Coturnix japonica: one gene and its partners. The protein of the gene in region 3 interacts with the protein of the main gene of each other region in a biochemical or structural test. Links are inferred from orthologs where the notes say so. Each region holds a gene or a part of one and is shown on either strand. Other genes may lie near its edges. The genes, in order: JUN, SREBF1, FBXW7, CCNE1, NOTCH1, CUL1 and KLF5.

Region 1 (4,019 bases), on a different chromosome or scaffold from region 3:
TGAAGTCTAGAGCACTTTTGTTGCAAAGGAAAGCAAACAGCCCCTTGCCTGATCCTGCTCGAGGGCATTGGCTTAATAAAAAGCATGCAAGAGCACAAGCAGCCAGATACAAGTGCAAAGCAGTTTCACACACCGGCTTTCTACCATCTCTAGAGCCTGCCTAAAGCCAAAGTCAGCCGCCCCAGCAGGGCCACTACAACACACAATAACCTCCCAGGTTAAGGTTAGGAACTGGAACTCCCAGACAACTCAAAAAGTTCTGTTTGCTCAGTGCTCAGGATCTGGTTCCCCCCGTCTCCTCCTCACACGTTCTCCAGGACATGCCTGCACTTACAGAGCGAGTTTCACATAATCCCTGCCCTTTAGAGTCCAGCATTAAGGGCATTTTCCTAACTCACATACTAGCAATAATAATAATAATAATAATAATGAAAAAGGTGTGAGGAGGAAATGCATTTTAAGTATTTTATTTTTTTTTAAATATAATAGAACCTTCTAGATTTTTTCCAGAAACAGAAACATTAAAAAAATTATACTTTATTACAAATGGTAAACTCAGAGTGCTAAAAAAAAGCCTCTTATTTACAAACAATACTGGGCAGTACCCAAATAAACAACATAAAAATAACTTACAAAGTCATGAAGTAGTTTATTGACATTAATCAACTTTCATAAAATAAAATAAAAAAGGATATGTACATACACCATTTACTTGAAGGCAGGAACAACAGTTCTTGGTTGTTTATCAGCCTCCCACAAACCTCCCTCCCGCTTTTTGTTTGTTTGTTTGTTTCTTAAGGAATACTACATGAAGCAATCTACAGTTTCTATTGCAGTTTAACCTTTAATACTGAATGATCATCGAATGTTAGGTCCATGCAGGTCTTGGTCAATGTTAAACGAAGATCTGTCGCCTCATGGGAGCAGGATCAGCACCTCGGAGCGGTGCCGGCTGCTTCACCAACTCGAGCTGAAGGCTGCCCAGTCTTTGCACACATGTGCTTTGCAGCACGCAGGCAGGACTCACAGCCTCCCAGCTTCTACCGTGAGCTTTACGCGTCCGCCGCTTTTGGTTTGTCGTTTAGTTATACCACAACATCACAGTTCCTATTGAAGTCAGTCTCTTCAAAACGTTTGCAACTGTTGTGTTAGCATTAGCTGGCACCCGCTGTTGACATGGTTCATGACCTTCTGCTTAAGCTGTGCAACCTGTTCTCTGAGCATGTTGGCAGTGGATGCCAGCTCTGAGTTCTGGGCTTTCAAAGTTTTCACTTTTTCTTCCAACCTGGCAATCCTTTCCAACTTCCTTTTCCGGCATTTGGACGCCGCGATTCTGTTTCTCATGCGTTTTCTCTCGGCTTTGATTCTCTCCTGCGACTCCATGTCAATAGGGGACAGGGGAGGGGTTTCCCCCGGCATTTCAGGTACAGTCTGAGGCTCTTCTTTCAGAGCCTGAAGCCTGGGATGCTGCACTGGCATCTGGGGGTTTATGTGATGCTGCGGCGCGTAGCCCATGCCGTTGGCATTGTAGTTGGGTGCGGAATTGAGCGCGTTGGGGTTGAAGTTGCTGAGGTTGGCGTACACCGGGGGCTCGCTGTGCAAACTCGTGTTGAAGCTGCCGCCGCCGGCCATGGAGGACACAGGTGCCATGCCACCGCTAACAGGTTGCGCGGCCGAGGTGACGCTGGGCAGCGTGTTCTGGTTGTGCAGTTCCGCCAGCGCTCTCACGAAGCCTTCGGCAAACCCCTCTTGTTCGTCGGTAACGTTCTTGGGGCACAGGAACTGCGTCGGGGTCGGCGTGGTGGTGATTAACCCGTTGCTGGACTGGATGATGAGCCGCTCCAGCTCCGGGGAGGCCAATTTCAGCAGCCCCACGTCGGGGGAGGTGAGGATGTCGGCGTTCTTGTTCCGCAGGTGCGGCTTCAGGCTGCTGGCCGGGTCGGACAGGTTCAGCGTCATGCTCTGCTTCAGCACCTTGGCGTTATTATATCCATAACCGCCGCTCTCCGGCGGCGCGAAGCTGGCGTTCAGTGCATCCTCGTAGAAAGTAGGCTCCATCTTTGCACTCATAGAACAGAGCCCAAAAAGTGGCGCCGGGAGCCGCCCCACACCGCTCCCGGCCAAGCGGCTTGGGGGGAAAGAGCAAGCCGGAGCCTTCCTTACTTCTCGCCGGGACAACGCCGCTCCTCCCGGCGCGGGCCGGGCCCGCCGGGCCTACGCTGTGCGCTGTGCGCTGTACGCTGTACTCTGTACTCTGTGCGCTGTGCTGCTCCCCGGGCCGCCTCTCCGCGCTGTGCCGGGCCGGGCCGCTCCTGCCGCCGTTGCCGCTTGTACCTCCCGGCTCCGCGCTCCGCTCGGCCGTGCCCGCTGTGGCGGCTGATTCTCGCTGCCGCCCGCCCCGCTCTGAGCCCGCTCGCTCCGTGCAGCCCTTCACTTATCAGCGACCGGGAGCCCGCTAAAAATAGCCCATGATGTCACCCCGCGCGCTCCCCATTGGCTGCCGCCGCCCGTCCCGGGGGAGGCGTGGCGCTGGCCCGGCGCGGTGCATGGCAGCCGGTCGCCATGGACACCCCGCCCCTAGAAGCTTCTCAGCGCCGGCGCGGGGCCTTGTGGGATGAGGTAATGCTGCCGGCGGCGCGGGGCATTGTGGGCTGACGTCTTGTTTTTGAATATCTGGTTACCGCGGCCCGAGCTCCGAGCGGGGTTGGGCGGCTCGACGGCCTCGTACCAACCAACCGCTGCCCTACCGGGTACCGGGGCACCGCGATGCCGCCCCGAGCCGCCCCGCGCCCTCAGCCCGTGCGTTGTGCTGCGCTCGGGGCCGAGATGCTGCGTGCGGCGGGGCCGGGCCGCGCTCCTCCGTTCCACGTCGCGTTGAGTCCCGCCGCATCGCCGCCTCCTCCCCCCCCCCGGTCCCGTTGTTGGTACGGCCCTGAAGGTGGCGCTCCGGGGGAGCCCTCACGTGATTTCCCCGCCTCGCTGCCCCCGCCGCTTCCAGGCAGGGCCGGGGCGGGCGCGCACAGCGCCGGGGCCGCCCCCGCCCCGCACGGGGGCACAGCGCAGGGCGGGCGGCGCTGGGGTGGGGGCGGCTCGGCCTCGTCTCCTCCCGTCCCGGGGAGCCCCGGCGGGCGGGGACGGGCGGCCCGGCTGCCCTCAGCCCCGCCTGCCTTCAGCCGCTGCGGTGAGCGCTGTGTCTGTTCCCAGGGCCGGGAGCTCCCCAAAGTATGAGAGGGGAAAAAGCTGCCGGGAAGGAGCCTGGCTCTGGATGGGTTTTCCTAAAGTTGTCCTCCCGGTTGTAGAGCTGTGCTGGTATTAGTGTGTGAGCGCAGCTTGGCCAAGGGGAACGGCTGGAGATGGAGGGATCCGGTCGGGGAGGGAGGTTTGTGCTGCTCCACAGCTACCGGGGACTCGCAGCTCGGCTGATGGACGGGACGGGAACCCGGGGCAACAAGTGCTGCCGCTGCTGCTTCGCTGCTGGGCTCCATCGCTTTGTGTGACATACGAAGCTGACAAACTTAAGTCTCGGTTTGAAAATGCACTTTAAAACTCTTAAGTGCTATTTTTTTTCTTCTAGATGTAATAACATAATTAGCACTTAAAGTACGGGAGGGAGCAATGTAATAAACAGAATCAAAAAGAGCTGTGAATTAAAAGTGAATGTCTGGATGCACTGACTGATAGAAGTTACTGCTCCTTTTATAGAGTCATCTCCCGGTCCTCCCTGCTGTGCACACCTGGCTGCACTCAGTGTATCCACTTCACCCATGTGCTGGAATCACACAGCCAATACCTGTGCATGTTTGTGCTAACAGTCAAGTGAATTAGTTTGCCCACAAATGTGGGCCTTAGTGTTTGCTGCAGGTGTGTGCACAGCCTTCAGGTAGGCAATGAGCACCTGTGTGCAGGTAATTCCAGCTGCCTCTGTAGCTCCAGCAGCAGTTACTGCATGTGTATAGGAAAGCCTCTGAAAGTCGTCTGTGTTAGAAGCAGCTTCCTAGCTCCATCCTAAGCTTTACACA
Region 2 (3,977 bases), on a different chromosome or scaffold from region 3:
GGGGGACAAAATGGGGCAGCTCATTCATTACAAACTAGACACCAAAACCTTGACAGTCCCAAAAAGCCCCTGTATTGAGGGCTGAGGAGCTGGGGCTGGGACGGGGAGGTGGCACATCCATGGTGCATCAAACCCCTCCAACCCCTGCACCATGTGCTGCCCCACTCACCCCCAGGCGGGCAGTAGGGCATGAAGAGTTAACCAGCATTAAGCCTGGGGGTCTGCCCTGCATCCCAGCACCCCGGGGCACTGGGGACATCCCCACTGACACACCCCAACACATCGGGCTGCTCTGAGAAGCCCCCATAGAGCGACCTTCATTTGGGCAGCATCCAAACACAGCGCGGTACCCAGAGATGCCAAAGTGACCCACGAGTGCCCCCAGACCCCAAGGGGCGCCCCATACACCCGGCAGAGCACGAGGAGCAGCAGGGGATACCTCCCAGCAGGGCGGGCAGGGTGAGATCCCGGTGTTGGCGGCTGAGCATTGCGCTGAACGCAGCGGGCTATTTTCAAACCATTTCCTCGCCTCCTCCCCACGTTCCCTCCCCGCTGCCGCCCGCGCCAGCCCTGGAGCGGAGCCGGCCGTGGGGTGATGTGACTCCGCCAATCGCTGCCCGAGCACCCGCCGGCCGCCCCCAGGCAGCCCCAAGGTGAGCGCAGCGCAGCGGGTCACTCGCGGGCACCCAGCAGAGGGTTACTCCAGGTCAGGCAGCATTAACTCCTTCACTGCGTGTCCCCACATCCCACAGTGACACCAGCGTCCCTCCGTGCATCCTCAGCCCGGGATACCCCCAGCCTCAGCGGGTGTTTGTATCCCATGGAGCACCCCCAGCCCTGGGACGCCTACATCAATGGGGAGCTTTTCCAAGATGAGATTTTCAGTGGGACCCAACCATGTCATCAACAAGGGCACAGGGACATGGAGACAGTGGTAAATCCACGGTGGGTCATGGCACTGCTGAACACGGATGGTCTCACCCCATGCATTGCCCCACGGGGCCCCTTACACCCTGCAGTATAAACACATGGGGATGGGGACACACAGAGCCCTTGGGATCACGCTCAGTGTGGAAGGGTACGTATAAGTGCCCGTCAGCAAAAGCTCTCCCTGTAAATAGCAGCAGCACACCCAGCCTGTCTCCATACGGAGTACAAGGTGTCAGGAAACACCCCCAATAGGGACATCCGCCCCCCACCTGCCCATCCCTCTGCTCCCTGCAGCTCATGGGCAAACAGAGGCCGCCGTGGTCTCAGCCCTGGTTTGTGTCCAAGGAGGGCAGAGGGGACGCCAGCCTCGCAGGCAAAGTCCTGCCGTGCACCGGGTGCATCAGGACACGCCGCTTCCCCTCCAGCGTGACAACGAGTTAAAGGTCACCCCGTGGGGCGACTGGGTTCAGCTCCAGCCTCGGCTGTCAGCGGAGAAGGGGATCCCAGCACCGACCCCACGAAGGGCCCGTCAGCCCCACGGGACGCTCGGGGGCTCTGCCGCCCCGTCCCCGCCCCGCTCCGTGCTCCACCGGCTCTGCCGGTCTGTGCTGGGAGCCTCGGGGCCCCGACGCGCACCGAGCCCGGGCGGAGCGGCACCACGTGCTGCCTGGTGCAGGTTGGCTGCTGCCTGCTGGGCTGGGCTGCGAGCTGCGGAGGGGGGTCCTGCTGGATGGGTCCAACTGGCACCTGAAAGAGCGTCTCATTGGCACCAGGGAGCGGGTCCCCCTCGGTGCTATGACTGGGTCCCACTGGCACTGGGGATCGGGTCCCCATTGGTGGCATGACTGGGTCCTATTAGCACTGGGGATCGGGTCTGCTTTGGAGACATCACTGTGTCCCATTGGTTTCGGTAAATGAGCCCCCTTTGGTGGCACGATGGGGTCCGGTCCCACTGGTACCAACGAGAGGGTCCCAGTTGGTGGCACGGTTGTGTCCAATTGGCACCGTCCCCATCCCGCAGAGCCCCCAGGAAGCAGCTCCAGCTCCGAGCGGCCCCGGGAGCCCCACGTTGTCCGTGAGCTGCGGGTCAGTTGTGGACCGGAGCCGGGGATGCCCCGCGGAGCCGCCCCACCCCCACCCGACGGCGGGGGAAGCCAGGAGGAACGACCGAGAGTAACCCCGGCGATGACGTCACGGCGGGGCGGGGCTGGCGGCGACACAAGGCTGAGCGATGGGGGAGGGGAACCGTCCCGGGACCGAACCCGCCGTGCGACCCCCACCCATATTACAGCCCCCAGCGGCCCGTCACCCCCCGCACCACGCCGAGCGCTGAGCTGCCCCCGAATGACACACGGTTTTACCGAGCGCGGTCCCCGCCCCAACCGGACCGGTTCTGCACCGGGTTCGCTCCGTCCGACCGTGCCCCGCCGCCCGGTACATCGCACCGACCGCGCACGGACGGTCCGTAACATCGCCCGGCCCCGCTGCCCCGCACCGAGCGCCGGTACCGCACCGAGCCGACACCCCGCGAGCACGAACCATTTCCCCGAGCAGCACCGAACCCGCCGCCCCGGCCCCGCCGCCTCTTCCCTCCCCGGCCCGATCCCGGTCCCGGTCCCGTCCGCACCGTCGATGTCGCTGAGCAGCGCCGTGTCGATGTCACTCGCCGCGCGGAGCTCCAGGGCCAACCCCTCCAGGGCGGCATCGTCGAAGCTGAGCGCGCTCATCGCGGCGGCTCTTACGGGCGGCGGAGCCTTTAGGACCGGGGAGGCCGCCCCAGCGGGGTCGGTCGCCGCATAATCCGGCGGAGGGACGGGGACGCGCGGCCGCACCGTGCCCCAACCTGCTGCCGGGGGGGGGGGGGCCCTGAGAGCGGCCGCCCCTCGTCCCGCCCCCCCCCCCGGGGTCCCCGCCCCCCCCCGGTAACACCGGGACCCGCTGCGGGAGCGCGCACGGACGGGAGCGGGGGAAGGCAGCGCTGCGGGGTGGGTGCGGGGTGCTGAGACCCTCCGGAGTGTTACGGAGCTGCGGGGTCGGGGAGCTGCAGGTTGGGGTCAATGAGGTTTGAGGGTGTTGTATTTTTAGGGCGCTGCGGTTTGAGGGTGATGAAGTTTTAGGGCCCTTTCTGGGTTCATCCTCACCCACCTTTTGTTTCAGCCCCGGGAACCATCCGGGGAAACAAAGCCCTGACAGTTGGCCCACCCAACCGAGGCTGCTCGTGGGGCAGATGGAGCTGGGGGTCTCCTGCACCGCTCCCTCCCCCCCCGCCCCCTGTGCAGCCCCGTGTGTTGTAGGGAACCGCGGGGCACCGCTGCGATACAGGACAGCGCTGCTCCAACATCCCCACCCGCAGCTGAAGACGCCCCATATCCCAACCCTGGGAGCCCACAACGCGCCATGGGGCGGCTCCGGGCGGCTGCGAATACAGGAATATCGGACCATATCGGACCGCTGGGGAGAAGCCGAGCTCCGTTCCCTTTTCCCGCAGGGCAGCGACGGTCTGTGGGACCCCACGTGTGTGTGTTGGGTGAGGGCACGGACCCCCAGTGGGCATCGCTGAGTGGGGCCGGGCAACGACCCGCATCACACAACGCGGGAGGGGGAATAGACGGCACCGACACGGCGCTGCTTTCCCGTTCCGTGCCCCCCGTGTACCCAGCCGGGCTCAGCACCACGCGCTGCCCCGCACCACGAACCGCAGCCCCCGAGGGAAGGAGCGAGCGGGGCCGCGCGGGGCGGGACAACCCGGGATGACGGTGATGGGAAAAACCCCGCCCGTAGAACCAGAGCGGAGCGGCCAATGGGAGCGAAGGGAGGAGTGGGGTGATCCGGCATCACGGAGCGGGGATGCGTGACATCACGGCGGCCCGGCGGGGATCCACGTGGGGCCGATCAGAGAGACGGGCTGAGAGGGGAGGAACCGCCCCGGGAAGAGACGGGAGGGATCACAGAGCGGGGAGGGACGGGATGGGGATGGGATGGATGGGGATGGGGATAGGGATAGGATGGGATGGATATGGGATTGTGGATAGGAGGATAGGGATAGG
Region 3 (3,944 bases):
GCAGAACAGCTGTCTGAGTACAAAACTTGTTCCCATAGGTAACCTGCACCTGAACATTTACTGCTGAAATCACATCGGTATTCTGCCAGTGAAAAAGCATATATGCAGACTCCTCATCCTTCAGTGAGAAGCCAACCACCTCAGCTCACAATGCAAAAATGATCTGAGCTAAACATATTTGTTTTGAACAAGAAGTATTTCACATCTCCTCTTACTAGCCAAGCTGTAGCACCAGGCTCTCTAGCTGATGGTAACATGTTGAGTTAGTAACAGAGTAAGATACCTGCTCATACCTTAAGACATGACATCATGAATAATTTCGGTAGAACTCTCATAAGATAACCACTATTTCAAAGAGAAGGGCGCGGGGGATTTTTTAAGCATAAACTTCAGAGATATGGGCTGACAAGTGGAAGCGCTTACTTACATAAACCATATCTCCTCTTCCCTCCAAGCCCCATTCACATGAGAACAAGCCACCACGAGGCTGGATGCCCAGAACGAAGCAGCCAAAGCCACAAGGGGACAGGCATGGGCAGGGTGCCGTGAGGAAAGCAGCCAGCAGCGCACGCTGCTGCTCACACAGGGGTGACCGCAGGGCAGCGGGCCCAGCCAGCCTTTGGTTTAAGCCAGCACAGCTTCCAGCAGCACCAGCGGCTGTGCCACCAAACCGCAAGACCAAGAATTTTGTTAACAATCAGCTGATTTCTAAACTTGCATGTGTACAAGCCCTCATCAAACAAACATCTCGCATCTCTGCTGACACAGGTCTGTAGAATCCTCGTAAGCATCCTCAGTCTATCGAGCAACTATGAGAGATGTGTTAGTGCAGACTCACCCCCCAGTTTCTGCAAATAGCTACAGTCCTTTTAACACAGAAGAGTATTGGCAGGAGTGACTACAAGCATTTCATGTCATCTCTTCCAGGAATTACCTGATACACACAACTTGCATCAAAGAAAGCTGAAGATACTTCAGCTTTTTCAGCTTAACAGCACTTTCATTTCAAATGTGATGCACGTAAACTCAGTGTGACTGTGTTCTTAAGAGGAACAGTGAAAAGATTAAACACATTTGCTAAGAGCAGCCTGAACTTCACACAGACTACATGACTAACGCTGACTAAAAGATGCTTGGTTTCCTTAAAGAGACAGAACTTGGTTCAATGACATCAGCGGGCCTAAACCACCACACACGTTCCAATCCTGAGAGCTCAGAGAAGAAATCCTACTGAAGTTCTTCTTCAAAGTAAAGCATGCATACGCAGGGGGAAGAAAGAACTTGATCTGAGAGTCAGTCTGAAGATATAAATGACATCTTTTTCTAAAGCCCCTCTAAAAAGCTGATACAGACCGAACTCATGCACCTTCTGAAAAGGAATATCTCTGCTACCAAACAGATGCTAGTGCAACAGATGCTAGTAGAATTGCTCTGATTAGATATGAGCTAGAATAGGAAAAGTTACCTAAACCCCCCAAAAAAACATTTTAATAGCATGATGCCATATATTCTCTTGAGATATGTGTGTGCCTGGAACCCCCACAGGAACGCTCTGGGGCTGCCAACAGGCAGCATGGGGATGTTATTAGAAACAGGACAGCGGAACAGCAAAGGGCAAATTTAAGTTTGAAACCAGGAAGTGACATAAAAGCAAATGTAATCTCCACAGCAGAGCAGGGGGAGATGCGGTGTCTTTTGACTCCTACAGGCAGTGGACAAAAGCACCAACCATCCCTTCAGCACCGTGACCTGAAGGAAAACTCCTTTCCCAACCTCTGGCTCCTGGGGCAAGAAAAGCAAAACTTCATCTAAACGGAGACTTCATTTCCCCCCACACACAGGCACACACCTTTTTAAGACTGCAATGACAACAAGGAGCTTAAGACAGGGAGATATCTTGGCCTAAAATAGACTCTTCCCATCTGCCAGAAAGTTACATCTCAAAGAGAAGCCGACACACGTGTGGGGCACTGCCTACCTCTGCATTCCCTTCTGCTTCCCAGGCTGGAGACAGGAACCAGGGCCAATGGCAAACACACAACGAGCAGTTTGGGCAGAACTGGCTCCTGCACCTGTGTCTGAACACTGCAAACAAACAGCACCTGAGCTGCTCTCCCAGGTGAGACAGCGGTGTGTGAGAGTAAACTCAGGAGGAACAAAACTCAGAAGGGATGGACAGAGCTTGCTTTCTGCACTGAATAACTACATGTTATCTTCTCCGGTTAAGCACAAGGCAGTCCACTACAGCAATTCTGGTTTTGTTTCCTTTTTTATTGATTTGGGGTGGTTTTATGTTTGTTTGTTTTGGGGGTTCTTGTTGTTTCCGCTCAGAGGAAAATCATAGTCTGCAAAAATGCAAAAAAATAAGGGAAAAAGGAGAAACCCACAAAACCCATCCCCATAGACCGGGATGGCCCCAGAAGCGGCTCCCCAGCCTCACGGGCAGATCACTTGTAGAGAAGTTCTTCACAAAGCGCCAACTTCGGGCTTTAAAAGCGCACGAGCACGCGGCACGCACACCGCACTCGGTGGCCGCTCGTTGCGACCGGGCACGTTGTGCCGCAGGTTCCCCCTCCCGAGCACACGAGGCGGGCCCGGCCCCGCTCCCGCCGGCCACGTTCTTTGTTCGGCGTCCCGCGCCGCGCCGCCGGACACAAAGAACGGCGGAGAGGTGCCCCCCCTCCCGGGTACTCACTCACTTGTCGGGCCGTGCTCCTGCGGGTTGTCCTTCGGCTGCCTCCGTGCGCGCCCGCCCGCCCGCCCGCCCGGCGGTAAGGAAGGGACCGGCCGCCGCCCCCCGCCCCGGGGCTGCCGGCGCCGCGGGGCCCCGGGCGGCTTCTCGGGGGCGGCCGCGTCCAGCCCCGCTGCGGCGGGGCGCTGTCGGGGCCGGGCCCCGGGCTGGCTGGGCGGCAGCGGCGCCGCCCCTCCTCACATGGGGCCGACGCCGCCCCTCGCTGCCCCCCGGGCCGGGCGCTGCGCCGCCGCCGCGGCCGGCCGGGAGGCGAGTGGCTGGGGCCGCCGCCGGCCCGCTCCCCCTCTCATGCACTCCGGGCCCGGCTGCAGCGGCGGGGGGGCCGCTAGAGGCCCAGCCGGGCGGCGGGGAGCGGCAACGCGGCCGCTGCGCTCTGCGGCATGTGCGGGCGGCGCGGGGGGCGCCCCGGGGTCCGCTGCTCGCGGTGGCGGCGGCGAGAGGGGGCGGGGAGAGCGGGCGGGCGGGCAGCACAGAGAGAGAGAGAGAGGGAGAGAGAGAGAGAGGGAGCGAACGAGCGAGCAGCGCGGCGGCGCGCGCGGATGACAGCCGTAACCCGGCAACACGCCCCGCCCGCTCTCTCCCCGTGGCGGCGCGGGGCGATGACGCGCTCGGAGGGCAAGGTGGAGCCCTGCAGGTAGCGCCGCGGCAGCACGGTTCAGCCCGGGACAAGGAGGCGGCGCCGCGAGGCACCGAGCGAGCACGGCGGCTGCGCGCGGGATGGACGCGCCTCCTTCCCGCCGCGAGGGGCGGAGCCACAGACAGAGAGAGCGCGGAGCGGTGGGCGGGGAGGTGCTAAGGCCTTGCACGCCTGCACGTGCGCGTGCCCCCGCCCCGCCGCCGGGAGGGCCGCGCGTTGGCGCTGCTATGGAGACCGACCCACGGTCTGCAGCGTGTGTCAGCGAGTTGTCATCAGAGCAATGCTTGCACGTGTCCCTACATCTCAAGCCCAATAGCAGTTCCAGCAGTGTCTGCCGTCTGTGACGGGGCGGTCGTTATATGGGACCTTAACGAGTTCACCTAGTCTGCATTATGGAAGGTAGCAAAAAATAAAAGGATTTAATAACTGCTCCTTAAGCGTGTGAGGTGGCCGTGCGCCAGAAAGTCTCACAGCATATGGGGAAAAATAAAAAATACAATAAAAAAGCACTTGGTCGTGTTGTTATCCTAAAACACAGAAGAGCAAATTCCATAT
Region 4 (3,500 bases), on a different chromosome or scaffold from region 3:
AATAACTGTCATCTGCACTTATCATGATGTTTCATAATTCATGTAGCACTAGCTACTTGTCTTCTTATTACGTTTGTCAATGAATGGTACCAAATTAAATATATGTATTCAAATATGCACACGGTGGATTGATTTGATGGTACGTGAACTGACCGTATATTGAGATATTAATTTAAATGAATTGTGTATAATAATCAGTTTGTCCCTAAAGCTCCACAAGGTAACTTCAATGTCACGCAACAGATTAAATCTGCGTGATTATTTAAGTTACTGTGACTAGGAATGTGTGGTGTCTTATAGACTAGATGAATCTCACAACATAGAGTGATAGAATGGGTCAGGCTGGAAGGAACCATAAATATCATGTAGTTTCAACTCCTTGCCATAGTCAGGGCCACCTTTCACTAGACCAGGTTGTCCAAGACCCCATCCAGCTTGGACTGGAGTGCTCCCAAGGATGGGGCATCAACTACTTTCCTGGTTTCAGTGCCTCACCACGCTCTACGTAAAGAACCTCTTCCTAACATCTAATCTAAATTTATGCTCTTTTAGTTTAAAGCCATTAGTTACCCCATGCTCTATCACTATATTTCCTGACAAAAAGTCCCTCCCCATCTTTCTTGTAGGCCCTTCAGATACTCGTAGGCTGCTACAAGTTCTCCTGGAACTTTCTTCTCTGGTATTGGCTTGTAGAATGTATAGCAAGTCTGCTGTCTTTATGGGAGTACTTTTGGTGTTTGAATGATTTGATATAATCTCTGCTCTTGATTCTAAAGCAGTTGTGAGAATTTTCTCATCTGAGGTATTGAAATAATGCGTGTTTGTGAATATGAGGAACTGATGTTCCAGTACTGTCATAGCACGCTCCCATTTCATAGAAGTGCTTTCACTTGGGTTTATCTTCATGAGAGGGGGGATTTACTGTAGTGCTGGTCATCTTGTGAGTCAAAGGAAACAGCTTAGCTCCTGCTCTTAGTTAACATGTCAGGTTTAGTATCAGTGAAGCAGAAGTCAAATATGAAATTGAGAAACCTAGACGTGTTTTGAATAAATCTGTAGCATCTGATGTTGACTCTCTAACGCTGTTCTTCATCTTTGTCTCTCTAGGTTTGCGAAGTCTACAAGCTTCATAGAGAAACTTTTTATTTAGCACAAGATTTCTTTGATAGGTTTATGGCAACACAACAGAATGTTGTAAAAACACTATTGCAACTTATTGGGATCTCTTCTTTATTCATAGCAGCAAAGCTTGAGGTAAATATCTCTGGTGTTTATCTAAACTTAAAAATGTGATTGGACAAACAGCGCACTTACTGTACACTAAATGCATTTTGGCTAGCTTTTATTTTCAAAATCCTTCCTATATTTTTAGATTTGGCTAAAATTAGGGCTAGCTAAGACACCACTATCTTTATTTTAAAAGAATAGTCTCTTCAGTGTTAGAATCATTCAAAATGTTTTTAATCATTGTTGCTAAATGAGTTTTTGGCTGGCTGCTCTATGCAGAGACCACTTGTAGCAATTCTGCTGTTGGTGGAGTACCTACTGGATAATACAATCCAAGCCGTTTTTATTTACTGGCACAAACTGAGCTATTAAAATAGGGCTTCTAAACTTCTCACTCTTTGTCTTTTAAGAGGCTTATTGATGTTTGATTTGTTCCTAAGCACAAATTATATTGCTGCTGTTGTAGTTGAACCCAGCAGGTGGCTCAGCACCACAGTCATTTGCTCACTCCCCCCTTCCCAGTGGGCTCACTGGGGGAGAGAATCAGGGGGGAAAAAATGTATAACTTGTGGGTTGAGATAACACTATTTACTAAGACAGAAAAAATAAGAAGGCTAATAGTTACAGATATGTATAACATATATGTATATATATATATATATACACATGCATAACAAGCAATGGGCAAGCAATTGCTCAGCGCCCCACAGCCAATGCCCAGCTAGCCTCCCAAGCAGTGGAAGAGAGTGAGATGAACTTCCACCCCCTCCGAACGCCTCCTGCATGATGTCATAGGGTACGGAATATCCCTTTGGCTGGTTTAAGTCAGCTGTCATAATTCTGTTCCCTCCCAGCTCCTTGGGCCCTTTGCTGAGAATGGCCTTGGCTCCGTAAAACACTGCTCAGCAGCAGATGTACACATTGGTGTGTAATCAACATTGTTTTTCTCCTGGAAGCGAAACATAGCATCATACCTGACTTTGTGAAGAAAGTATTTCCAACCCAGCTGGAACTAAGACAGCTGCTTAATCATTAGGCTTCATTGTAGAACTCTGCTTAAGGTGAAGCTTACACTTGTTGAGCAGTTAGGCCAGGTTGTATCCTCATGTTGAAAAGCAGCTTGGTTCTGATGGCAGTGTTTGAGGGGCTCTCTGTGATCTGTTTCCTATTCACTGGAGTATCCGTGGTTAATTAATATTTGTTTGCTACTTACAAGACCTGAGGTCGTTTCTCTAACAGCTTTTGTAGGGCCGTATACCCTGGTAGGTGTGCAAACATCTGTGACCAGTAGAGCTGTATCTAAATACAAGAGATAAAAGATGTTTTCCACAGGCTGCATTGAAATAATCCTGATGCCATTTACAGTATGCTGTATGCACCTCAGTGATGCAGTCAGTCAATACATGTTGTACTGATCTATCAGAAGTCAAAGGTGAAAACTATCCACAGAGAGGCTGAAAAAGAAATCTATATATATTAAAGGCAGAGGAGAACACAATGAGTTAGGATGGGAAGGAGGGTTATTTTCCTTCTTTTCCCCTGTTATCTATTTTGAAATGCTGGAGTGGCACTGGGATGTTCTTCTCAGTACATGGGAGGACTGGTTAGGACCTATTTGTTTAACTGAATACTTGATTTTTTTTCTGTCTCTCAGGAAATTTATCCACCCAAGTTGCACCAGTTTGCCTATGTTACAGATGGAGCTTGTACAGAAGATGAAATCCTCAGTATGGAATTGATCATTATGAAGGTAATATTTCAAAGTGGAATTTGTCCTTTTTTTGTCTTAAAGGTATAGCATAATCAGACTAAAAGCAAGAGCCTCAGTTAATCTTATGTGCTGGTAAGAGACAATTTCTAATTAGAAAACAGTGTCCTCTAGGTAACAGGTGATTTAAAGCATCCATCAGTACACAAGTATTTAACAAAATGAATTGTTTCCTTCTATCAGCAGGAGGGAGGTATGGGAAAGAATTGATTTGCGTGTTCCAAAAATGCCTTGCCCAGCTTACTGCCTAGAGTAAATAAAGCTGCGTGGTCTCAGTTAGGAACACTTTGTTAATACTCAAGTGCTGTGTATGTCTACTCTTGCAGGCTCTTAATTGGAACTTAAATCCACTGACAGTTGTATCGTGGCTAAACATTTACTTGCAAGTTGCCTATTTAAATGAGCTTTACGAGGTATTGTTGCCACAATATCCACAACAAATATTTGTACAAATAGCAGAGGTAAGACCGATTCCATCCTCTAAATACTATTTCATTTGAAAAAA
Region 5 (3,978 bases), on a different chromosome or scaffold from region 3:
GAAAACAAGATTTAGAGCGTCACGCGTTGGTAAGGGCTTCTGTGCAGAAAAAAAAGTGGCGTGCATTCATTAGTGGCTCACAAAGGGACCCAGCCTTTGTCCATTAAATTGCTCATGTGCCTGATTGATTTGCTGATTTATTTTCACCAAAGGCTTTGGGGGGCTCCGTTTGGAGGAGGGGGGTGGGGGCTGCCCAGGCGCTGCGGGCAGAGTAACGGTACCCAGAGGCACAGAAAAGCAGCAGGCATTGTCAAGGAGAAGTGCCATTCAACAGGTCGGGGTTGGAAATGCCTTTGGGTTCCTCCGCCGAGAACTTCCTATTGGGAAACTTGGGGTGGGTGGGAACGTCTCCCAGCCCGCTCTCAGCTCAACCCGTGTTTAACAGGCAAAGGGGAAATCTGGCCGGAAAGCAGAGCCTTGCCCATTCAGATTTCTTTTATGGAATAGTTTTAAAAAGGGAACTGCACTCTTATTCATTTCTCTGGGTTATTGTTCCCTGGGAGCCCAGACTGAATCGGCCATCGCTGCGGTGGGTCGGGTGGTCCTTCAAAGGGACCCAAGGCTTTACACATCCGCTTCCCCACCATCAGCCTTGAGAACACCCCATGCCAGGAGTGGGCACGGATGGCAGCGTGGCACTGCCCCACAGACAGACACCCACACAACACAGCCACCCTTGGATGCTTATGGGAGATGCCCTGGATACTGCAGCACCAGCTGCCAGGGAATGAAGGACAACGCAATGGGGCCAGGAAGGGGGGGGGGGGTTGGAAGATAGACAGACAGCCCTCCCACCCCCCGTTGTCCCTCCCTCCTGCTCCATCAGTGGGGCACTCTGATGGGTTAACACCAGCCAAACGTGGCCCTCTGCCCATGTTTTTCCACCCAGCCAGGAACAAAGCCTGATCCTGCCAAACCCGCGGCGACTCCTACACCGGAGCAGGTTATTCTTGCCACTCAAGGAAAGAAAACGCATTTCGCCCTATTAAATCCAAAGCCTTCAAAGCAAAGTCAACAGGCACGTCAATGCTTCGGCTGAGGGAGATGGAAATCCTTCTGCTCCTCCATACTTACTGGCACACCTCCGTCCCATTGAGGAAAGTTTCACACTTGCCCCCGTTGAGGCAGGATTCAGCCAGTTGTGTACACCGCACACCTGTGAATAGAAGGAGAGCATCAGGCACAGCACAGAGCCCGGGGGTCTGCACCCCACTGCAGGGATGGCCTCACAGGGACCACGTTAATGGGCAGGACTACACTGCCCCAAGAGGAAAGGGGCGACCTAAAGTTAACCTGGGGTGGTCCTGGGGGTGGGCTCTGCCTGTTAAAGCAGGAGGGTGGATGGGGAGAAGCTCCGGGTCGGGTATTTGAGTGACAAATAGCACTTGGGAAAAACCATCTGCCTGCAGGGCCCGTGGGTCGCCACGAGCTCAGTCCCGAAATGAGTCGCTCGGCACAACTTGCTATGAGTAAAGGTTTCATTGTCTGGCCCTCGGAGCCGGATTCTGCTCAGTTACTACAGCAACTCGCTGAAAAGTACTAGAATCGCTTCCGATTTCCACCCCGCTTCACTCTTCCCCTTCTTCTGCCGCTCTCGGTGCAGTCAAAGCAGTTTCACACTGAGTGAACGCAGCGTCGCAACCCAAACCCCACCTCCCCCCGACGGCAGCGGAGCGTCCCCATCAGCCCCGGCGGACGGGCCGCGTTCTGCCCCTACAAACAGCGTCCCGAGAGGCTCCAGCTCTACTCGGTCCGTCGGGGCGGCTCCACTGCCCACCTCCCCCCTCCGGCCCCGACGGCAGCTCCGCACGTTGCGGCCCCGCACACGGATCCGCCCCGGGGCCGATGCCGGGGAGGAGGTGGAGGGAGGGAAGGGGGGGGGGGGGGGGGGAGGGGGGGGGGGGAGTTAAGGAAGGGGGGCCGAGGGGCACCCGGTTGACTTTCAAGAAACAGGAAACCGAGAAAAAATTTGCAAAACGGTCAAAAAACTCTCGCGGAACAACAACACGAGAGCGGCCAATGCGTGAGACTCCGTGGAGCCGAACCCCGTCCCGAGCTCCGGGACACACACAGCACTCGGGGCCGAGCACAGGGACACCCCCGCAGTGCTCAGTACCGAGCTCCGAGACCCCTCACAACCCTCAGAACCGAACACCGCGACCCCCACCGCCCTTAACACCGAGTTCTGGGCACCCCCGACGGCCGGTACCGCGACCCCGAGCGGTACCGGTAGCTCTGCCCGCCCGCAGCCCCGACGGCTCCGCTCCCCGCGGAATCCCCGCTGCACCGATCCCGGTTCCCCCCCGTCGGTTCCGGCCGCCCGGGCCCCGCGGTGCCGAACTCCAAAGTTCCGTCCCCGTTTCTCAGCCCGCTCCGCTCCCCCCGCTGCACTCCCGAGTTCCGGACCCTCCCGGCGGCTCCACGCTCCGCTTCCCTCGGACCCCCCGCCGCCTCCGATGGAAGCACCGCCTCGCCCCGCCGCTCCGAGCCGAGCTGCCGGCAAACTTCGTGCCGGAGCCGGGCCGGGGCCCTCACCTCGCGTCGGAGCGGGCAGCAGGGCCAGCAGGAGCCCGGTGGCCAAGAGCCGTTTCATCCCTCTGTGTTCCCACCGCTCACAGCCGCATAGATCCGGAGGCCGCCGGCCGAACCGGCTCGAACCGAGCGGAACCGAACGGAACCGGAGCCGTGCGGCGCGAGCCGGGAGCCCCGAACACACCGCGCCCCAAACGCCGAGAGAAACGACTCCGAGCGCCGGCGCCTCCCGCGGCCGCTCAGCCCCCGCGGGCCGGGCCGGGCCGGGCGGAGGGCGGAGGGGGGGCGGGACGGAGCGGGGCGGGACGGCGAGGAGCGGAGCGGGATGGGACGGAGCGGGACGCCCCTCCCTGCACGGCGTGGGGGGCAGCGCTGGGAGCCCACCCTGAGCCCACCCTCCCCACGGCCACAAAGCAGCTCCGGACGCTGCAGTGCGGTCGTCCCCGCGGCTCCGGTGCGGTCCCGGATAGTTCTGTATACACATCCATGGCTCCTTGCAGCTCCGAGCGCTGCTTTGCAGCCCCTGGGTAGTCCCGGTGCAGCTCTGACACACTTATGGAGCCCCTCCGTGTACCCCTCACAATCAGCCCTGGACCCGCTATACAGCCCCTCCGTGTAACTCCTGTATAGACCCCAAACAGCTTCGGGCTCTCCAAGCAGCCCCAGACACCCTAGTGCAGCGACCATGTAGCTCCCCCCATGCAGTCCCTGCATACCCCCGGTGCAACCCATCCCCTCAGTCCCAGTAGAGCCCCCCACCCCTGTGCAGCCCCATCCCAGGCCCTTACACAACTCCCTACAGCTCTGGTTCAGCCCCCCCTGCCCAGTGGGTCGCAGCTGCTGCTCAGGACCCCAACTGGGGTGAGATTCCCCCCAACACAGTGCACCACACCACTGACCCAGTGCAGGGGTGCTGCTGTGTTGCCCTGTGAGCTCCTGCACTCAGGGCAGAGCCCAGCCCATGTGCTGCAGCAGCAAACAAACAAACAAATGCACGAGGGGAGACGAGCAGCCAACCCTGCCATGCAGCCCTATGAGCTCCGGTCTGTGTGCAGGTCCCATTGCCCCCACCTCCAGCATCCAACACTGCCCTGGATCCTTCAGGATGGGAGTATGGGCACGTCCCACCCAAAACCCAATTGCGTTCTGGGCCTGGGGGCAGCCCCCTGTGCTGCCAGCACTGCTCCCCCCCACGGGGTCACCCCATGCAGTGTGCATGATTCCCATCGCATCTCAGCAGTGGCAGCAAATTGGAACCAGGCTTTGACTTGAGCAACCAGAATCGAGGCTTGAAACTCCTGTTTGTGTGTGGGGATGTGTGGGACGCCAAGTACTAGAAGAAGAAGAAGCAGAGGGGTCGGTGCTGGGCTGATGGTGAGGTGCTGTCCCACCTGTGCCCCCCCTCTCTCCTCCCCTATTGAAGGGCACCCCCACGCCAGCACTGTG
Region 6 (3,133 bases), on a different chromosome or scaffold from region 3:
TGAGACCTCCCCAGATTCATGAGACTGTTGGAAAATAACTGAGACAGGTCTCGTGATGGTATCAGCCAGTACCCTGTGATGAATCCCATCAGGTACAATAGACTTACATGCATCCATGAAGAGCAGAAAACCCCACACAACTTTCAGCAAAAAATCATCCCCATAGTCACAGACCTTCAGCCTAAGTGGGGCACGTGGAATGCCTGAGCTCACCATTAGTGTTGAAGACAGAGGTCAAGACTGCATCCAACTATGCCACATTTGTAAGGTGACCATTTTCAACAAAATAACACTCCTCCTGGTTCTCCCCTTTTGCTGGTAACATATTTAGTTAGTATTTGCAAGCCTCAACTTGTAACCAAGCTCCCACCACATTAATTTTCTCTCTGTCCCTGTCCCTACAGCATCCCTGTAATATTCTCATGTTACCTGACCCTCGCTTTTAGTGATAATACACTTTCTTTTCCTGCCTAAGGTTCTCTAGAAGAATAGCCCTGTTCAGCCAAGCTGAAATCGATGAGCAGTAAAGAACCCCAATGCCTTCAAAAGCAGTTTCTTAGGGGACTTTACTATTTACCTGAGCTGCCTGAAATCTGCTCTCCCCATACCCACAGTTGAAGTTTTGGTGGCAACTTTCCTCCAGTCACCAAGGATTTAAAATTCAATCACTTCATGGTTACTAAGACAAAAATGGTCACCAAGTACCACTCGACTCATTAGATTTTCTCTGTTCACAACCAACATATCTAGGAGGCCATCTTTATTCATAAGATCCTGTACCAGGTAACTGTTATCAAGCGCTTTAGGAACCGCCTGGACCTGTTTGTATTATGTGTGGTGTTCTCAGTTAATTCCTGAGAAACTGAAGTCCCCCATTAGGGACGAGGACAGTTGATCTAGATGTCTCTCTTAGTTCCTTAAAGAATAATTCATTGGTGTTGTCATCCTGGCTGGGTAGTCTACAGCAAACTCCCACAATGACATCTCTTTTATTTGCTTGTCCCTTAATCCTGACCCAGAGGCTGTCAACCACATCATTCCCAAATGACAGCTCTGTACAGTCTTTTCCCTTCATTACAAAAATACCACCTCATCACCTCACTCACCCTGCTTGTCTCTTCTGAAGAGCTTCTAACTGTCACTTCCTGCTTGTTCCTCATGCTGAATGCCAGTAGTGTAGATGCATTTCAGATGTGCTTCATGGTACTCAGAACCTCATGAAGCAGAATTACGGATCTTATTAGCATGCAGTACACTCTGAGTGGCAGTGCCATGACATTTCATAGTTTAATCACCAGTAGGCTTGGCCATCTTCTCACACAGGAAAGAATCATTTGCAGAAAAAGCCTTTTTGTTTTGTTTTGTTTTTTAAATGCAGTTGTCATGATATGCGGAGTAGGCTGATGTGCCCTACATGACCCCTCCAACTCAGATGCACTTTTATCCACACAGTCATTTGCTTGTCCCTAATGTGTAAGGGCATCTGGGAAAGTGAGGTAGATGTGGAAGGAAACTTGCTTCCATTCCCCCCATCTCTTAGATCTGCTCCTTTCTTCCTGGTGTGGGAGGGCAAAGTAGCCCTTATTTCTTACATTGAGTGGCTGATGAGTCTGTTTCAGGAGCGACAGAGCGCAGAGTCTGTTGCATCTCTTTTTCTGACTTCCTGATGCTCCTCAGCCTGACCATATCCTCCCAAAGCCCCACCAACAGGCTAAGCATCTCTTTAACGTGGGTGCTTTTTCCACAGGTGTACTCACTGCTACCAACAGCCACTGGCTGAGGACTTTGCCACACCCTGTGCCTGAGACCTGGATGGCCATGTGTTCCTTCAGGAGTTCCATTTGTGTGGCCACGTTGCTTCCTCTGGCTCGAGGCCACATGAGACACAGACAACATGACTTTCTTCTGGATGGATGCCATGGTGGAGCTCTTCACAAGCAGATTACAGCCACTACTGGAAACCATAGTGGCAACACCCTCCCACACAAACTGCCAAGCCAACTGCCATGCCATGCCTTTGAAGATGTCTTTTTTGCTTTCCTTTTTTAATTCAGAAAGCTATATTTAATCCTACTCAACACCAGGAACATAGGGTTAGAGCAATCATTCTCACATACCTTAATTACTGGAACTCGTGGCTTGAACCTTGAGGACAGCTGTGTTAACACTTCTCCAAGTAGTTGCTGGTGTTTTAGAACCTTCCTCATTTTCATAATTCTTACAATAGCAGCCTGCACAGCAAAGTCAGAAAGAGAAGCTTAGAAGCTTTTCCTGCATAAAGCCAATTTATTTCTCCAGTGGATCACATCTACTACCACAGTAGCACTGTAAAAATAACTTCAGCAGGAGGTGGGGATACACTTATCTACTGCGGGAAAAGGCAATGGCAGATAACCAGCTCTAACCTACCTAAAAAAGGGTGATGGTCACAAGCAAAGAAAGATTTGCTTACCCATCCCAAGGATCAGGGCTCACCAAATACTCCAAAAGGAGGAATCTCCAGGTAGAGATCCTTCCCTTGTGGCAGCCAGCCCTTAAATGAGGCTTAGGGAGGGGTGGAACCTGAATTGCTTTCACCTGTACTCCCAGGGCTGGCTGTGTCCCTTCACTAGGGGTACAATCAGGCCTTGAATTAGCAGTTCCTGTACAACTACAGAGCGCCAACTATTCACATTGATTTTTAGAACTCAGACTTTACATAGAATACAGTCATCAAGTGTTTCTCACATAGGAATTTTAAGAACTATGTTACTTGGGATCAGTAAGAACAACAGTACCACCACCACCAAAATAAAATATTTGTATAACATGAAATCTTACATATGTATTTATTTTTACTGAGACATTCTTTGAGTAGAACATTTATAATCTCAGTGGTGGTTGATTCCCCAACTAAGACTGTCAAGTGTTCAAGGGACAACTAGAAAACATCTACATTGATGTGCTTTTCCTTTTGGTTAGCCCTGAAAAAGAAAGGCAACTGTAATGTGGTCTTTGAATGCCTGTTCCAACTGGACTACCTTATTCTATCTACTTTCTCTGTCCCCTCTACTTCTTAAATACTTCTACATGAAGTAATGAAAAATACCTTCAAGTTCATCCTTAGTCATAGAATTGCTCAGGTTGGAAAAGA
Region 7 (2,545 bases), on a different chromosome or scaffold from region 3:
TTCCAATAAAAAATACTGAAAAGGAGATGTGGATTGTTGGGGGGGACATGACATTGAATAAGACTTCTTTGGGACCCTCCTGTTTTTCTGGGACATGAAGGGGACTTTGGGAGGAGAAAGTACTTTTGGGCAACACTAGATGGGTGTGAACAGCTTTTACCCATTTTGAAAGTAGGAGAGAACTCCTATAGTTCTTGTATACATGCCATGAGTATTTTTCCTTTCCAGCTACGTGTCTGTGGATGGACTACTGGAATTATTTTCAGGCTACTGCACAATTCTGTTAAAGTTCTAGTGGCAGAGAAGAGCCCTGAAGTAATAATCTTTTCACATTTATTATTTTAAAGAGGGCTGGACACAGAAGGGCAAGGTACTTTCCAAAGAGACAATCCCTCCTATAAAGAACAGCCATTCTTGGCTTTATATTGCTGCGATTTCCAGCTCATCCTGCAAAAACACAAAACTTACAATTGTCAGGAGCTACAGAGAACACACAAACGCACATTAGGCACTTTGTTTTATTTTGCAAAAAAAAAAAAAAAAAAAGTCTTTTATATATAAACCATTTCATTCTCTCTCAAAACATTCTACAACTATACAGCTGTTTGCTCCAACATTTGCATAGGAAATACCACAATACAAAAATAAGGTAGGGGGGAGGCAAAAGAAGCAAAACAGCAACCAATTTATGCATGTGTTTCCACGTATAAACATTTGAAGCCTTAGAAAATTATTTACATCATTTGTCAACTATTTACATTAAGAGCAACATTTCTAACTATAACAAACAAAACTATAATTTATCAAGTATATGTAAAATTGTCTTAAAAAAAAAGTCTATCATATACCACAAATAAATAAAGACAAACAACAGTTTTCACAACGCTAGATTTTCCTGCGAGACCCTTTTTTGGTATTTTGATTGTTTATTTTACCCTTTGGTTGACAGCTTAATATTACAGCTTGTGAACTCCAGACACTTTTACTTGGTTTGTTTCGTTTTCTCCTGTTGCCTGGCCAAATCCTGCACAGGCTAACCTCATCTTTGGCCCTTCACTTAATGTTTCAAGGCTGAACACTGTGGATCAAAGTCACTGTTAGCATAAAAGGGCACCACTTCACTGACTTCAGTGGAGTTTCAGCTACCTTTGTCAGCAGTTAATTTTCCCCCGTGCGTATCCATTTGAACAGTGGATTAACTAAACTGCACTGTAATTTTAAATAAAATTACTGTATCCTTTACCTTCTAGTAAATTACACGCAATGTCCACATGAAAACAGATCATACTGGTGCTGAACCAGCTTAGTATGTCCGTATATGAAAATTGCATCCTAAATCCTTCTTTTTAAAGTGATACTAAGTTTAGCTTATAGTAAGAGGTTTAACATTCTTTATACTGTAACTACCCCCCCGTTTAAGCTTCCAACGTTTACTTTCCAGTTCACTTTAAATGTTTTACCCTTTTAAGAAATTTGAAAACAAAATCCTGCTTTGAATATTCAGTGCACACAATCTGAGTTAACAGGTACAAAACATCCGAATGCCTTGCTCATTTCTCTCAAGAGAAATGAAGCTAAGTTGGTACTGGTTTGAGAGGTATTTAAATAACTTTTAGTGTAAATGTGCCGTGTTAACAAATGTAAAACAACTGTGTTTTTTTTTTGTTTGTTTTTTTTGTTTTTTCCAAATAATTCTTAGAAAACTTTTGTTTTAACCCTAAAAAGCTGATTTGCATATTTACAAAATCTTTGTCATAGCAAACATGCAACATACAGAACAAAATGTTTTGTTCTATGGCTGTTTATGAATTTTTCTACGTATTTCATCTCCACAGAACGACTTAACATTTAAAAAAAAGTACAAGTACTAAACAAGTCCAGTAAAACCCTGACAGATTACAATGCATGGCTTTTCCACTGTGTCCATTCATCTATAGTCTCTCATTAATTTGTTTACTAAACATCGTCACCATAATGACACTGCTTTGGTCAAAACACCTAGAGAGAAAAAAAAAATATGTGTAATGCTGCCGTGTGTCAAGACATAATACTTGTAAAGAGATGAAACCTGCTGACTAAAGCCATATACACCATGTGAGCAAACAAATGACTTGAACACTCTGGTACTGTGATAGTGTCTTCCCTTTTTCTGCATAAATATACAAAATATACATTTTCCAGTTTTGAGATTTCTTTTAAATGGATAATCCATCCTCAAAAATTAAACTAATTTTAGTTGTAGGTTGAGAGTCATTAGGAAATTGCATAGATACAGAACGGCCTCGGCAACAACTATGGCTCTCAGTTCTGATGCCTCTTCATGTGCAGAGCCAGGTGATCAGAGCGAGAGAAGCTGCGGTTGCACACGGCGCACTGGAAGGGTTTAGCCCCGGTGTGCTTCCTGTAATGGCGCGTTAATTCGTCCGAGCGCGCAAATCGCCAATCACAGCCCTCCCACGTGCACTTGTACGGCTTTTCACCTGAAATCAGACAGAAGGAAGAGAAACGTCAGCTGTGCATCTTCTGAAGAGTGCCGACACAGGGT

What was found.
Region 1: the proteins of FBXW7 (region 3) and JUN form a complex in vitro, tested with the Homo sapiens proteins (3 studies listed by BioGRID, with this or other methods). The link is inferred for Coturnix japonica from reciprocal best matches to the Homo sapiens genes FBXW7 and JUN.
Region 2: the proteins of FBXW7 (region 3) and SREBF1 form a complex in vitro, tested with the Homo sapiens proteins (3 studies listed by BioGRID, with this or other methods). The link is inferred for Coturnix japonica from reciprocal best matches to the Homo sapiens genes FBXW7 and SREBF1.
Region 4: of the proteins of FBXW7 (region 3) and CCNE1, one has a biochemical effect on the other in vitro, tested with the Homo sapiens proteins (18 studies listed by BioGRID and IntAct, with this or other methods). The link is inferred for Coturnix japonica from reciprocal best matches to the Homo sapiens genes FBXW7 and CCNE1.
Region 5: the proteins of FBXW7 (region 3) and NOTCH1 form a complex in vitro, tested with the Homo sapiens proteins (2 studies listed by BioGRID and IntAct, with this or other methods). The link is inferred for Coturnix japonica from reciprocal best matches to the Homo sapiens genes FBXW7 and NOTCH1.
Region 6: the proteins of FBXW7 (region 3) and CUL1 form a complex in vitro, tested with the Homo sapiens proteins (3 studies listed by BioGRID). The link is inferred for Coturnix japonica from reciprocal best matches to the Homo sapiens genes FBXW7 and CUL1.
Region 7: the proteins of FBXW7 (region 3) and KLF5 form a complex in vitro, tested with the Homo sapiens proteins (2 studies listed by BioGRID, with this or other methods). The link is inferred for Coturnix japonica from reciprocal best matches to the Homo sapiens genes FBXW7 and KLF5.

Annotation. Positions count from the first base shown.
Region 1 is NC_029523.1:23,599,187-23,603,205, forward strand, and holds JUN (transcription factor AP-1), read right to left. Parts: upstream 2,595-4,019; 5' UTR 2,071-2,594; coding exon 1,126-2,070; 3' UTR 501-1,125; downstream 1-500. UniProt on the Homo sapiens protein: Transcription factor that recognizes and binds to the AP-1 consensus motif 5'-TGA[GC]TCA-3'.
Region 2 is NC_029529.1:4,939,236-4,943,212, forward strand, and holds the start of SREBF1 (sterol regulatory element-binding protein 1), read right to left. Parts: upstream 2,801-3,977; 5' UTR 2,658-2,800; coding exon 2,558-2,657; intron 532-2,557; exon of another isoform or gene 489-531; coding exon of another isoform or gene 440-488; intron 1-439.
Region 3 is NC_029519.1:29,877,821-29,881,764, forward strand, and holds the start of FBXW7 (F-box/WD repeat-containing protein 7), read right to left. Parts: upstream 2,801-3,944; 5' UTR 2,700-2,800; exon of another isoform or gene 2,696-2,699; intron 1-2,695. UniProt on the Homo sapiens protein: Substrate recognition component of a SCF (SKP1-CUL1-F-box protein) E3 ubiquitin-protein ligase complex which mediates the ubiquitination and subsequent proteasomal degradation of target proteins.
Region 4 is NC_029526.1:7,180,333-7,183,832, forward strand, and holds part of CCNE1 (G1/S-specific cyclin-E1), read left to right. Parts: intron 1-1,107; coding exon 1,108-1,254; intron 1,255-2,881; coding exon 2,882-2,977; intron 2,978-3,321; coding exon 3,322-3,456; intron 3,457-3,500. UniProt on the Homo sapiens protein: Essential for the control of the cell cycle at the G1/S (start) transition.
Region 5 is NC_029532.1:6,303,606-6,307,583, reverse strand, and holds the start of NOTCH1 (neurogenic locus notch homolog protein 1), read right to left. Parts: upstream 2,801-3,978; 5' UTR 2,594-2,800; coding exon 2,536-2,593; intron 1,157-2,535; coding exon 1,075-1,156; intron 1-1,074. UniProt on the Homo sapiens protein: Functions as a receptor for membrane-bound ligands Jagged-1 (JAG1), Jagged-2 (JAG2) and Delta-1 (DLL1) to regulate cell-fate determination.
Region 6 is NC_029517.1:75,402,806-75,405,938, reverse strand, and holds part of CUL1 (cullin-1), read right to left. Parts: intron 2,232-3,133; coding exon 2,118-2,231; intron 1-2,117. UniProt on the Homo sapiens protein: Core component of multiple cullin-RING-based SCF (SKP1-CUL1-F-box protein) E3 ubiquitin-protein ligase complexes, which mediate the ubiquitination of proteins involved in cell cycle progression, signal transduction and transcription.
Region 7 is NC_029516.1:140,002,837-140,005,381, forward strand, and holds the end of KLF5 (Krueppel-like factor 5), read right to left. Parts: intron 2,481-2,545; coding exon 2,302-2,480; 3' UTR 501-2,301; downstream 1-500. UniProt on the Homo sapiens protein: Transcription factor that binds to GC box promoter elements. Activates the transcription of these genes.